Drosophila melanogaster: one gene and its partners. The protein of the gene in region 3 purifies or fractionates together with the protein of the main gene of each other region. This does not show direct contact. Each region holds a gene or a part of one and is shown on either strand. Other genes may lie near its edges. The genes, in order: spartin, Zw10 and Rab18.

The links.
Region 1: the proteins of Rab18 (region 3) and spartin purify together in Drosophila melanogaster (affinity purification with western blotting; one study listed by BioGRID). This does not show direct contact.
Region 2: the proteins of Rab18 (region 3) and Zw10 purify together in Drosophila melanogaster (affinity purification with western blotting; one study listed by BioGRID). This does not show direct contact.

Annotation. Positions count from the first base shown.
Region 1 is NT_033777.3:4,652,708-4,658,513, reverse strand, and holds spartin (spartin), read right to left. Parts: upstream 3,715-5,806; 5' UTR 3,435-3,714; intron 3,356-3,434; exon of another isoform or gene 3,244-3,355; intron 2,997-3,243; 5' UTR 2,982-2,996; coding exon 1,859-2,981; intron 1,612-1,858; coding exon 1,305-1,611; intron 934-1,304; coding exon 702-933; 3' UTR 529-701; downstream 1-528. Other genes in the region: Karybeta3 (karyopherin beta 3), read right to left, coding at 4,425-5,062, 5,178-5,806. UniProt on the Drosophila melanogaster protein: During postembryonic development, functions with endocytic adapter Eps-15 in neurons to restrain synaptic growth, by inhibiting BMP signaling, and to control synaptic endocytosis. Required presynaptically for neuromuscular junction (NMJ) neurotransmission.
Region 2 is NC_004354.4:2,602,326-2,607,735, reverse strand, and holds Zw10 (Zeste-white 10), read right to left. Parts: upstream 3,540-5,410; 5' UTR 3,434-3,539; coding exon 2,084-3,433; intron 2,023-2,083; coding exon 1,207-2,022; 3' UTR 912-1,206; downstream 1-911. Other genes in the region: Smyd3 (SET and MYND domain containing, class 3), read left to right, coding at 12-474, 540-910; Klp3A (Kinesin-like protein at 3A), read left to right, coding at 4,138-4,817, 4,891-5,042, 5,114-5,410. UniProt on the Drosophila melanogaster protein: Essential component of the mitotic checkpoint, which prevents cells from prematurely exiting mitosis. Required for the assembly of the dynein-dynactin, Mad2 complexes and spindly/CG15415 onto kinetochores.
Region 3 is NC_004354.4:5,670,178-5,673,869, forward strand, and holds Rab18 (Rab18), read right to left. Parts: upstream 1,636-3,692; 5' UTR 1,485-1,635; coding exon 1,426-1,484; intron 1,337-1,425; coding exon 904-1,336; intron 840-903; coding exon 738-839; 3' UTR 650-737; downstream 1-649. Other genes in the region: RpL35 (ribosomal protein L35), read left to right, coding at 2,343-2,345, 2,821-2,957, 3,040-3,271.

The DNA of each region.
Region 1 (5,806 bases), on a different chromosome or scaffold from region 3:
AAGATAGGAAAAAAGAATAAGGAATAAGATAGCTATATAGAGTCTTAGGAAATGGTTAGGAAATAATGCAAATAACATAACCTTTTCAACAATATAAGATTCAAAAGTCTGTAACTTCAGGCGATCGGAAGCTATGACAGTACTTACGAGGATTTAAAGCCGCTAAATTAGACGGCTTTTTATTGATCGTCAATCTAAAGATACTTAGATCAACATTTGTTCACAATTTACATGGTACGTTCATACTAAATTCCTTGCTAAAATTGTTAATTCTTTTAAATTAGTGAAAGAGGACTGAGTTGTGTATCAAAAATCAGGACATTTTAATTTAAAAACAAAAGATACCCGATACTTAGCGGTTGGAGTGCTAGGAAGCTAGAATTTAGGTTATACAAATATACAAAGTGAATTAAACATTTTTCTTTTTAATACTTTCTAGCTTCGGTTTATCTACAAATACAAAAGTAAAGCATTTTTGAACACTAAAATAAGGTTTTGATGCAAAATCTTTCGAAATATCTTTTTTATGTGTTATTGAACATAATATTTATTTATATTTTTTCTTTTAATTAGAAGCTATAAATGGCATATAAATATTTCAATATAATAATAATAATAATAATAATAATAATAATAATAATAATAATAATAATAATAATAATAATAATAATAACATGTGATAAATTCCTTTGGTTTTCCCGCTATTCCTTCAAAGCTCGAAGATCCGGATAAAGAGATCCGGCATTAATATAATGAGATTCCGATTTGCGTAAGTCTCGCTTGTAGTCACTGACCACAGCTTCTCCTGTTCGTTTGACCATTTTCTTGGCAATGCCCTTCGGGGTTATGTAGTTCACGTTCTGACTGACCACGAAAACGTTGCCCACCGTGTCAAAGGTGCCACTAGCCAGATTCCCCGTCTGCTGGCCATATCTGAAATAGCAAATAAATATATGTAAATATATGAAATATTAAAAATGCCCGCACTATATGTTTTTCTTTTTCGAAGGCGAAAGAAACCCAAAATGAATATCTAGATCTTAGTAGACCTTTAGTAGCATTACATATTTGAGACGATTCACAACAAGTTATAAAACTTTTCTTTGTGTGCAAGCTTGAGTAACATTTCCCGATCCTTGATCATTTTTGCGATCCTCTGCACATTGCGCATAACTTAAATCTCAGATATATTTAAATTGAATAAACCGTTGCCAGCCTAAGTGATTACTTTCAATTCGGACGAAAATTCGTAATGACATCTGTTACAAAACTGCATAAGCATTAAGAAGCCAAAGCCAACCCACTTGTGTTCGATTATCTTGACGGAGTTTTCACTGAGGCTGGAGCCTAGGATCTTGGCGGAAGTCTCGAGGCCATCGAATACGGTGCTCACTCCTTCCACGGCTCCTGCCGCGATGGTCATGGCGCCCTCCATGGTGCTATTAGCCTCGCTGGTGTCGTAGCCAAATCCCTTCTGCAGCAGTTTAGAGCCTTGCTCCTGAATGTGGGGAGCCAGGTAGCGGCCGACTGCCATTGAAGCAGTGCCCACCTTTCCAGCTATCCATCCTGTCATTCCGGCTGCGGCGTGCGTCACTTTTTGGGCCACCTCAACTATAATGAACAAAAGGTTACAACATAAGATACATTAGATCTATCTTATATGTAATCTGCACATTTCCAAACCATTGATTAACATGATTATCAAACACAAGCACAAACTCCGATCGAGGTGGAAGTGTAGTGACGATCACATCTTCGACTTCGAATCTTATCTTCTAATTTTATCGTTACATGCTCATTCGGAAGCTACCATACTTCCGCCCTAAATACAGCTCTTCCCTATTTGGAACTAACTCACCTGAAGTTTGGACGGAGCTGGGCACCTGAGCATCCATCGAGGCTGGCGTCATCTTGGAAATGATATACGGAGTACTCCTAAGCATAAAGCCTCCTGTCTTCTCGGCGCCCCGTACCAGGTTACTAGCAATGAAATCAGCCGCACTTACAATGTGTCTGGACACCTGCTCCGACCCGGAAACGGTATCTGAAGCTAGGCCAGCACGTTGGGAGGTCGGCGATTTCAGCTGCACTACCGTGCCAGCGAGTACGGCCTCCAACAGGTCAAGAAAGAACTGCTGAAGATCCTCCAGTTCGTCCTCCGTGCGCGATGTCTGGCCCTCCTTCGTTAGCATCAAACCAAATGCATTGCCCGGCTGCTGGCACTCCATATCAGGAAAAATAAAGGCTCCGTACTCTGTTTGGTAGCAGTTTGTGATCGAGGGAACCAGGGGGTAAAGCCAAATCCCTGCAGTCCCCTCATTTGGCATGGAGCACTGAATGAAGTAGATGCCACTGAGGTACTTCCATTTGCCACCCACGGTGCACATTACCAATGACATAGTTGACGAGCCGCTTATGGTGGTTACTGATCCACTGGCTTCGATTCGGTACATTTTGACCTGTGCACGGAAGAGCTCATCGAGCAAGACTTTGGCGTCCCGAACAGCCAAGAGCTCCCGCAAGCCGGCAGCGAGCTCTCTGTAGGTTTTTGGTGCTCCGCTAGCATTGGCTATGCCATATTGCGTGGAGGGGTTTTCCGCCAGCAACGGCGGCCTTTTTGTATCCATCTCTGCTCGACTTTCCTCCGTGGCCTCCACGGCTGAATCATCAATGGATTGTTTCTGGGATCGCAGAACTTTGAGGCGGTATCTCAATTCCGTTTCGGCGCTCTTGAGCTTTTGGATCAGCGCACAGGCGTCGTTCCACTCCGCCTGCACGGTGTCGATCTTGTTGGGAAGACCTACTGGAATGCCGAAGGTGTCCTCTATCATACGCAGGGCCAGCTCATAGGCCACAATGGCCTGGCCGGGGGATTCCTGCTCCTCGTGACTTACGGCCAGGTCCACCTGAGTCATGGCCGCTTTGTAGGCTGTTCTGATGCCAGCATAGGCCTCCAGGAATTCGCTTTCCTCCTCCGCCATCGCGGCCTTTAATACCTAAGAAACAGCACAGAAACATTAGATACTATACAAAAAACCAAAGCCCTCAAAACTTTAGTATGTAGAACTAAGAATCTATTAAAGTCAATGACTATGGTTATTTATGGTTTAGTTAGTATACATGTTCTATGTGCTGTCTTTATTCTTATGAATCCCCCTTTCGCAAAGTTCTGTGTAAGTCTTATAGTGCAAATTACTACATATTTTGTTAATATTCGTGAGATTTAAGATATTGTAAACGAACTTGCTGGCAGAGATACATCCCGACGAGGCGGGCAACCGCGACCAACTAAAAGGGTGACCAAAATGCGTCACCAAAGTGGGAATGACGCGCTTTTACATCTTCTCCTGCAGCTGCTCTAAATTGAACTGTGGCCAACGAAACCGCATCCGCCCTTCCGCTGCACTCACCGTCTACCTGTTGCACTCACTCACCTTTGGGTTTTGGTTTCGTCTGATTCTGAGCGTTTAATCTGCACTTTGCCCACCAAGTCACCTAATGATTTAGAAAGCAAACAGAGAAACGCTCTCTTTCGCTATTTTCTCACTAATTTTACGAATTATTTTCTGCTCCTGTTTAGTCGCACACCTTTAAAGTGAGAATATCGTTTGCCTAATATCACTTAAATTCGTAAATAACATGTTAAAATGTGTGTTTTCCATTCGAGTTGAATGTTCCAAGTTTTTCCATCTTTGTTTTGATTTGCTTACTTTCCATTGCGAATCAGATCAGCTGTTTAGGAGGCCTCTGCATGTTCACTGCCACAGACAGAGTTGCCACAACGACTTTTGAAAAGTCTTTTGCGGGAATCGAATTTGAAATTGAATGAATGGTTAATAATAAAAAGCAATACTAAAACATAAGCTCGTGGCAATTAAAATATCGATTTACTTGTTATTTATTTCGTTTTTATCATGTTTAAAATACAATAAATGTTATTCCTTTAAATATATTTGTCGATCCTGGTTTGAATGCACAAAATTATATTTCGTTCGATTCGGACAACGTTTACATCCTGTTTTCCCCGCAGGGAGAGGCGGCCGTTAGGGCCGTATATACACACATATGTATTAAACATATGAAAATTTGAGTAACGAAAATATTCTATTGGAATTTGGGTGTGATTGGGATGGCATTTGGATCGCATCCATACAACATATCAAATTCTAACGAGGCAGACTTTTGTCTTCGGGAGAAGAGTTTTGATTAAAATCACAATATGTATAGAATTATATACCCGGATAACTCTATTGTACACATAAATGTATATCTGTATAAATGGATATCTATGTGTTAAACATATACTTCAAAATTTCGGTAAGATGAAAAATAATGATAACGAGTAGCTGAAGCATCCATCGTTCCTTTCTTGGCTTGGTCGACATGAATGGACTTGGTCTGAAGAGGATTGGGATTGCGATATCTTAGGCGGGAGCCACGTTTGCCAGCTCCCGGTAGGCATCCTGCAGCGCCTGCTGCTGTTCCGGGCTCAAGGTGCTGGCACAAGCAGCCATTACCTCCGGATTCGATTCCACTTGTTTGACGATAGTGAGCATACGAGTGCCGGTGGCGGACTGCGCCTCAACCACCTTGGTGCAGAAGGATTCAGCGATGATGGAGACAATGCGCGGCAGATTGCCGTTGTTTGCCCCAAGAATGACCGGATGGTTGCCTTCAATCAAGTCGCATAGGTAGCCATAGATGTGGGCGGCTTCTTCCGAATCCTCGGACACCGGCAGCCATGAGAACCAAACACCGATCAGCTCGTCCACGTTGCTCAGCGCCGAGTTGTTGTACTTGAGGATCTTAGCAAACGCCGAGATCGCATTCTCTGTCGGACTGATGTTCTCGATTTCGCGGGCTTTGGGATCGTTGATGACCTGCACCAGCAGTGGAATGATCTGGGCGCATGTATGCGCAAACTGCTCACCAGCGAATTGGCCGAGCACCCCGCATCCGTAGGCAGCCGCCTGGCGCACTTCTGGGGCCTTATCGCACACGTACTGGACGAGGGCTGGCGTAAAGATCTGCTGGTATGGAGCACAAGCGGGGCCACAAAATTCTGTAGGTAAATGAGAATACAAGTCTTTAGTTTTATGGTGGCACAAATGATTTGATGTTTGAAGGTATCGGCGGTACTATTGAACTGCAAAACTCAATTAAGAAAACCAACTCACCGATCAGATCATCGAACACGCATAAGCCCCACTGCCGATCAGCTACAGGTCGGCTGGGCTCCAGTAGCTTGACAAAGTGCGGAGCCACCTGTTCAAAGGCGGGTAAGAACTGAGCCTTGTTGGTCTGGAAAAGGGCGTGTGTAATGTCCACGATTTTGGAAAGGATGTAAACATCTGTGTCGTCCTGCTCGGCCAGCTCCTCCTCCACACCGTCGTCGTAGTCTTCCTCATTGCGAGCCGCCAAACGCTTGTCAGCACGCTCGAAATGCTCCAGAACATACTTGTTTATAATCTCGAGAACTTGTTTCATGGCATCCTCGTTAAGGCAATTCGGACCCAATGTCTCAATGCATTTTGCCAGCGAATTCAGCAGCTCCGACTGCACGTCTGGCTCCGGTTCCGTGACGATTACCTTGAGCAGCTCCGGACAAATGAACATCCACATGCCCTCCAGATACTGTGGACCCTTAATTTTTGCGCAGTCGAGAAGGTAAGGCAGCGACTCAGCAGCAGCTGTGCGGACACCGTCGTGGAAGTAGAACTTAAGCATGGGCAGCATTTGACGCACCACGTCCTCAGCGTATTCGGCAAATCCTTCCTTTAGTTCCCTAGCATAACAAACCAGCATC
Region 2 (5,410 bases), 3.1 Mb from region 3:
GCTCTTTGCAGCTGATCACCAATGGCTTCAATATCTTGGACGCCGAGATGAACTCAATTGCCACGGCCATATATCTGGGCGTCTCGATTACGGACCATAGCTGCCAGCCAAATGCGGTCGCCACCTTCGAGGGCAACGAGCTGCACGTCCACGCGATCGAGGACATGGAATGCCTGGACTGGTCGAAAATCTTCATCAGCTACATCGACCTGCTCAATACGCCGGAGCAGAGGCGTCTGGACCTCAAGGAGCACTACTACTTCCTATGCGTGTGCAGCAAGTGCACGGATGCCAAGGAATCGAAGGAGATGCTGGCTGCCCTGTGTCCCAATCGCAACTGCGGTGCGGGAATCAGTGTGGACCGCAATAATTGCCCGCGATGCGATGCCGGCATCAGTCCCAAGTTGAGAAATGCCTTCAACGAGGCGATGACTCTGACCCGGCACAATCTGGAGAACATGAAGGACGTGGCCTGTGAGTAGATGCGACGAAATGGAATTAGCTCCATAATAAGCACATTTTCACTCTCTCGATCACAGATCTCGATGTGTGCAAGGTGTGTCTGGACAAGCAGACTGGCGTGTTCCATCCCCTGAATGTGTGGTACGTCAAGACGCTCGATGCGGCCTTCGAAGCAGCCATCGAAGTGGGCAAGTGGAGCGACGCCCTGGATTACGGGCAACGTTTGCTGCCAGGCTTTCGAAAATACCACGGACCCTGGAATCCGCTATTGGGCCTGCTTCACATGAAGCTGGGCAAGATTCAGCTCTACGAGGGCCATTCCAAGGAGGCACTGCACCATCTGGAGGAGGCCCAACGCATCCTAACCGTCACCCACGGCCGAGATCACAGACTGCTTACTGAGCAGCTATACATGCTCGTTCTACAAGCGCGACAAGAGGCGCACTAATGGGATTTAGTTGTTTTTATTCATTTAAATAAGTCTTAAGTTAAATATTGTGTTGCGTTGCGGGAAGAATGGAATGGATTTTTGTGGATAATTACTTTTCTATGTACAACAGAAACCATTCGGAGAATTAAAGATTATCAAATTCTATTACTTTTGGCATTTGTGGTAAACAATTCAAGGAATTAAAGTAAGGACACATTGATGGTGATCATCAAATTTAGACTCCGTTTACCACCTCAAATGTGATGTCTATCCGCCGTTCAACATTCCTCGCTCGCAAAAAAGGCGCACGCGCCCTATACAATCTGCGTAATGGCCTTGGCCCGCCAATCCGTATCCTGGAACAACGCCCTGATTAGGTGCTTTATCTCATCCGACTTGTAGCTGGCGGTCAGCGGGCCGACGCCGTCGCCCCACAGCTCTGTGATCTCCATGAGCGACGCGTTCAGCATGGCCTTCAGTTGCTGCAGCTTAAGCCAAGAGAGCACCTGGACCACCTCGTTTGGTTCGCGGAAAAGCGTGGGCGCCCGCTGGAGCACCACGTCAATGAGATCGCTCAGCTCACAGGCCATCTGTGCGGAAATGTCGCGCAGCGTGAACACTCGACGGATTAGCTCGGCGACAAATGTGTTGATTAGCTCGCAGAAGGTTGCATTGTACACGGTCTCCGGGAGCACATTGGCCCACACGTTCTTCAGCAGCTCCAGCTGGCGAAGGCACTGACGCACCAGCTTCAGTGGACCAGAGCCCAGCGTGTGCGTGCTCTCGAACTCGAACTCCTGCATGATGCCCATCAGGATGGAGGATTGGTAGTCGACCTGCACGCGGAAATGCTGCTGACCGGTGGCCTGCAGTGTCTTGGCCAGCGCCGCCAAGCTTTCGATGCCCTTGTTCGCATGCTGCGCTACCCAGTGTGTGAAGAACATACAATTGTTGTGGAACAGGACGGCCTGCTGTGGAATGCTCTCGAGCAGCTTGCGGTGCACCTTGGGCACCTCATTGATGTAGGTGTGCAGCATGATGGAAATGACGCCGGCTATGGGATCGGCCTCTTGGTCGCCCAGTTTATCCGTGGGCTGGCGAAGAATGCGGTCCATTAGTTTGACAAAGTCCTGCCGGCGAAAATGAATCCATTAGTGCGTAATCAATCGTTTCGTTTAGCGAACGACTTACCTGAGCACTTTTCGAGATCATGCAGCGTGGGAAGAGGAAGGGATCGTTTGCCACTTCGGCTGAGTGGTTGTTGGGCGCCACCAGCACCATGTCCTGCAGATCGCGCTGGATGATCTCCCGCGCCGTTTCCAGAACTCGACGATACATCCGATTGCGGTAGTAGGTCTCGTACTTCTCTACAAACTGCCCTAGGGCTCGATCTTGCTCGGGATTGATGATGAATGAGTCTACAAGCAGCTGCTCCAGCTGGGCGACATCCTCACACAGCGTGGATGTCTGATACTCCTCCGTGCTTTCGGGCACAGCTGGTATCAGGCACTCGTCCACCAGTAATTTCAGCATTTTATCCTTCACATGATCGCCAATAATGCCAAAAACATGTTGGTCCCTGGACACACTGCAGTTGATCCCGGCCAGCGTGTGCAGCAGCAGCCTGAGGTTCTCCAAGACCTGCTTGTAGTTCGGGCGAAGCTGCGCTGAGCTGGGCTCCTTGGTGGCGTAGGAAAGCGACAATCGAACGTAGGTGCCACCATCGGCTTCTTCGCTGTAATCGGCCATCACTGGGCGCATGATCACCGGTTCTATGCAATTGTCCAGCAGGAATTCGCAGAGGCGCGCCGGATTGTAGGGCTCCTGGAAGAGAGCCTGCACAATATCCTGCAGCTGCGTTTGATCCCGGCTCACCTGCAAGGTGACGCAACGCGATGTGGGAAAGGATTTGCACTGCAGCTGCACCAGGCGATCGAAGCGCTCCTGGAGGCTCTGCTGCAGCATATATGCCTGTACATGGTATTTCACCTTGATGGTCTCGTAGCACTCGAGAGCCTTAAAGATGCGTCGAACCTCTGGCGTGGCCACCTGCGCGTCCCCGTCAACGGAATCATCGCCATAGATGAAAGCCCTCAAACGACCGACAAGGTCCAGTAACACCAAGTAATCCTTGGTGGCCTTGGCCTCCTCCACGCACTGGAACAGCTCGTCGATCCTTAGCACATGCTCGCTGACACCCAGACCCAAAAGGATCTCTCGCAGCTGCCTGCCGTTACCCGCCATCTTGACATTCGCCTCGTCCAAGGCGTCCAGTCCCTCGGAACCCAAGTTCTCGAGCATGTCGTGAATCTCGCGATTCAAGGACCCCGACTCCTCCAGAAATATGTCCGGCGACGTGTTGTTGGGCAAAAACTCCGTGTAGTTGTCTTCGATGTGCTTGCGGACGCGCATCTGGAAGCGATTAACGCGCGTCAGCACTTTTAATATGGCCGATTGGGTGGCCTCCACGTTGGCGCACCCGTTCCCATTGCCGTTGAACGCCTCCTCCAGCACATTGAACCGCGGCGCCTCTTCCTCCATGTCCTGCTCTTTGACCAGATCCTCCTTTTCCAATTCTTGCGAAACCCAAGACAACTGGTTTCTGCAATTCCCTGTTGCTACCAACGATTGTTCAAAAAAGCGATAGATATGTGCGGCTGTCTGCTATCGGCTATCGGCGAATTGGCTAGTTGACAAGAATTGGGCTCTTATCACTGGCAGTAGCTAAAATAGTTGTAGATCTAGGTAGCTTTTATTTTTATGTATAAGTATGTAGATACACTGTCAATGATTCATTTTGTCAAATCGGCGTGCACAAATCGTCCAACCACATTTTTGCAAATGTGCTATTCAAGAGCCAAATTATAAAAAAATCGAAATCTTTCTACACCGGCACCTCCGTCGATCGCGCCACTAATCGACATCTGCAACGAATCGATAACAACGCCATTTTTAAAAATACTGGCAGAAATGCATTTGCTTCTTAGCGTCGCGTTTCATTAGTTTAGTTCCTTGATCCAAAAATCGAATTCATTGAGAGTGCCGGGCTGCGCGTGGAGAAGCCGCGTTGCTCCAAAATCTAGACCAACCAAAATTCTAAGTTTTTGTAAGTGCTAACCAGTTGATCAGTTAACCAAAGTCGGACTTGCTGTGCCCCAGAGAAGGTAAGTGGTTGGTGGTGTTGGTCGAGATGGCGGTAAAGGTGATGGAATGTTATGATTGTCCTTCCCTCCCCCTACCCCCAGATGTCCAGCGAGGATCCCAGCTGTGTGGCAGTGGCCTTGCGCGTGCGCCCCTTGGTGCAGTCCGAGTTGGATCGCGGCTGCCGGATTGCCGTCGAACGATCGGCGGATGGAGCGCCACAGGTTACAGTCAACCGGAATGAGTCGTATACGTACAACTATGTCTTCGACATTGACGACTCGCAAAAGGATCTATTCGAGACGTGTGTACAGGCCAAAGTGAAAAAGCTGTTAAATGGCTATAACGTAACAATCTTGGCATATGGACAAACGGGTTCCGGAAAGACCTACACTATGGGCACCGCCTTCAACGGAGTGTTAGATGACCATGTGGGCGTTATACCACGCGCCGTTCATGATATATTCACAGCCATTGCGGAAATGCAGAGCGAATTTCGTTTTGCTGTCACATGCTCTTTTGTGGAGCTCTACCAGGAGCAGTTCTATGACCTTTTTTCGTCGAAAACTCGGGACAAGGCCACCGTAGACATCAGGGAGGTCAAGAACCGTATTATCATGCCGGGCCTCACCGAGCTAGTGGTCACATCCGCCCAGCAAGTGACCGATCATCTGATCCGCGGCTCAGCCGGACGGGCTGTGGCCGCCACGGCTATGAATGAAACCTCTTCAAGATCCCATGCCATATTCACATTGACGCTAGTAGCCACCAAGCTGGACGGCAAGTATGTTGTGGGCCGCCATCACCTCGTTAGAATACTTAATGCTTATACACATTTGACCTCCAATCTCCGATAGGCAATCCGTTACCACGTCCAGGTTCAACCTGGTGGATCTGGCTGGTTCTGAACGCTGCTCAAAGACCCTAGCCAGCGGCGATCGGTTCAAAGAGGGTGTGAACATCAATAAGGGTCTTCTGGCCCTGGGCAACGTGATCAATGCCCTGGGATGTGAGTATCTATCATTTAGCCACTGGCTTGAAAATTGATCTCCATTTTTATATATTCCATATAAATTGCAGCTGGCCAGGCCGCTGGCTACATACCCTATCGCCAGTCCAAGCTGACGCGTCTGCTGCAGGACTCCCTGGGCGGTAATTCCATTACGCTGATGATTGCTTGCGTCAGTCCCGCCGACTACAACGTGGCCGAGACATTGAGCACCCTACGCTATGCGGATCGAGCACTGCAAATCAAAAACAAGCCAGTGGTCAATCTCGATCCGCATGCGGCGGAGGTTAATATGCTGAAGGACGTCATCCAAAAGCTGCGTGTAGAGCTATTGTCGGGCGGCAAGATGAGCAGTTCCTTAATTAGCG
Region 3 (3,692 bases):
ATCACTGGGGAACTGGGCGGGAGCAGGTGCGGATCCGAGGTATCGATGGAGGAGCAACAGCGTGAAGTTAGATTCTAAGTTACTCTTACGGAACCTATGCGATTACAAAAATGTACATAAGGGGCGTGCTCCGGGAATTGTTGCGGCCAAATGTCCAGCTTTGTTTTCTAAGCATCCGTCGCGTGCAAGGGATTTACAAGAAATTGATGAATAGCGAGCGAGCCAATCGTGAAGAACAGCTTCATTGATTTCTAAATCCACCTTGTTAGCGTTAATTAATAAATATTAATCATCGATAATTGTAAATATAAACCGAACTCACTTATAAATTTACACCACCAGATGCAATAGAAATAAAAAAAATCGCATAGCCCATGTACATTTCAGTTGGTCACTAATCCAATTCTCCACTTTATTTGTTGCGTTTGTGAACGCAAATGGAAAACTATCATCATGTCAATAAAATAATGAAAAGAAAATGCTGAACTTGACTTTTGACTGGTCGCAGACGAAATGCAAGCAGATGGACAATAAGCCGTACAGGAATATTAGAAGGATAGAATTTAAAAAGGATTCTGACTGATCTGCAAACCCTGCAAGCTAAGTGAATCGATAGCCCTGCTCAGATTGGAGTACACGATTGAACGTTAAGGTTGATTGACTTTATGCTAGTGATATTGAAACGATTAAATAAATACACGATATAAATTTGACAAAAGCACGCATAACATTCGAAATCAACAGTAACACGTAGACGCGCTTGCCTCCAGATCCCGATCGCTGGCGATGTCCAGACCGGCGGAGGCATTGCCATTGTTGAAGTATTCGGAGGAGACGATCTGCAAAGCGGATGTGGATAATTGGAAACACGAATGCCAAGTATTTGGTTGGTAGCTAGCTCACCTTCTCCACCACATCTTTGAACACATCGCTGACGAACTGATCGCATTTGGCTGAGGTCTCGATGAAGAGCGCCCTGTGCTTCCTGGCAAACTTTCGACCCTCCTCGCGATCCACAACTCGCTCCTCGTCGATCTTGTTGCCTACCACAATGATGGCAATGTTGGGATTGTCGCTGTAGCTATCCAGTTCAGCCAGCCAGGTTTCCAGCTTGACCAGGCTGTCCCTGCTGGTGATGTCGTACACTAGAATGGCGCCCAGAGCCTTCCGATAGAAACTGGGCGTCAGGCTGCGGAATCTCTCGGCGCCCGCCGTATCCCACAGGGCCACCTTGTAGTCTATGCCGTCCACCTGCATCACTTTGCTCTTGAAGTCCATGCCAATCGTGACGTCATGGTTCTGGTCGAACTTGTTCTCCACGAAGCGACGTATCAAACTATGATGAAATGATAATGAAAGTTGATGAGTGATGCAAGCTTTTGGTAATATACGCAGTGGAATTGCTCCATGGACTTGGGACTGCACCTGGACTTGCCCACGCCGCTTTCCCCGATCACCAGCAGCTTGATAGCCCGATCAGCCATTGTGTGGTTTGAGCTCCGCTTAATGCTTATCACTACTGTTATTTACTTAAAACGATAAGAATATTGCCAATTGTATTATTTATGTAGATTATCTGGAGTAAGTGAGTGCGGCGTTGCCACCTTGCTGCTTTGTTTACATTCTCACGATAGAGATGGACCACTGTAACAGCAGCCTTGCCAGACCGCCACTTCGATCTAGTGGTGACCTGTGGCCGTAATCTGGCTACTTTTTTGCACACACATTTAGCTTCTTAAAATAATTTAATTCCACCCTTTTAACAAAACCGATCGGGTCTTGACTTAGGAGGACTAACTATATTTAAAAAAATAATTCTGTTGTTACTACCATAATAAACGCGCAATGAAAACTAAAACACGTTAAGCAGATCAAATTTTGTTGCCACATAGGTAACAGTGCGTTCCTTATATTGTTGTATAAAAATTAATTAAAAAAAAAAAATTAATTATAAAAAATAATTATAAAATATCATAAATTTAGGATTCCTTCTGCGCTCAAAATAGTTGGTGTTATAATTATTTTATATAAACGTTTAAATTATATAAGAAATAATTTTCCTCGAAAAATAATTCCGAAACGCGTAATGTCTTAATTTTATAGCTCTCTAAAATGGTATTATTTAGCTTTTCATTGGCATTAGCAAAATAAAAAAGTAAATATTGTGATTGAATATTTTTGCAATCGTAGTAATTTGATTTATCTATTTTAATGACGGACTCGGAACCGGTTCGATATCAGCGTTGCCACTGGTTCGACGCTCGAAGTTACAATAGTGCCACCACCAACTAGTTCTTTCCTCCAAGTCCCATCTTTCTTTTTTGACGTGACCAGCGAGAAAAATGGTTGGTATTTTGTGAGCGAAAAGATTTCTAACCTATTTTACAACGAAACGAACAATTAAAAGCCAAAGTAATGGCTAAAACGCGCCCCAAATTACTGCCGTTCATGGTGTTAACACAAAATGCGATTAATAATGCAGTACCACGCTAGTTGAGACGCGCAACGCTAGCACACTATTTTGTGCTCACCCCTAGCACCTCTGCTTCTTCTTCTTTCCTTTTCTTTTCGCCGCGTTTCCGGAGAGGTTGCGTTAAGCCACGTGCTGAATTTCTTAATTTGCTGGTTTAGTGAATACGGAAAATTCGTTGGTTTTTTTGTTCTGTGCTGAGTGTTAAAGAGCAGAGCTAGAAAAATGGTTGGTTGGTTACACCCATCGACACCCGATGCTCTCAGCCCAAGGGCCAATGAACATGCCATTTGCAGTGCAGCGATACTAATGTTCTTGTTTTCTGCCCGTTTGTTTGTGCTCCCGTCCAGGTGAAGGTTAAGTGCTCCGAGCTGAGGATCAAGGACAAGAAGGAACTCACCAAGCAATTGGATGAGCTCAAGAATGAGTTGCTCAGCCTGCGCGTGGCCAAGGTGACCGGCGGAGCTCCCTCCAAGCTCTCCAAGATGTGAGTATGCCGCGGCACAACGACAAGCGTCACGAACTAATTCCGGTGTTTTGTGCATTTATGTGCGTTCTTATCCATACAGCCGCGTTGTCCGCAAGGCCATCGCTCGCGTCTACATTGTGATGCACCAGAAGCAGAAGGAGAATCTGCGCAAGGTCTTCAAGAACAAGAAGTACAAGCCCCTGGATCTGCGCAAGAAGAAGACCCGCGCTATCCGCAAGGCCCTGTCTCCGCGCGACGCCAACCGCAAGACCCTCAAGGAGATCCGCAAGCGCTCCGTCTTCCCCCAGAGGAAGTTCGCCGTCAAGGCCTAGAATGCATCCAGATACTCCGACTGTCTATAGTGCGCGTTAAGGGTTCTTCGGTACAATGAAGAAGAAAAACTAAATAAAATCTTTTTTTTAAAGTGAAAATAGCGATGCGTGTTTGATTTTGTGACCGAAAAAACGCGAGTGGCACATGGCTTTGGCCATGGGTTCATGGAAATTAGTTAAAAAACAAAAAAACAAGTGCCGCATTCCCTGTTCTACATATGTTAGTCGGATCCAATGGGATCTACTTAACTACTTGTGGTCCTTAAGATCATTATAGAGCAAAAACGTTGAGTTAGCGCCTTGTAGAAGTAATGGCAAATCTTAAGTTCAATCTTTAATTCAGCCTTCTTTGAATATGCAAACTTGAAAAACACCAGAATTCTCAATTGGTCTACGTATATGTATTTAATTCGATTGTCTT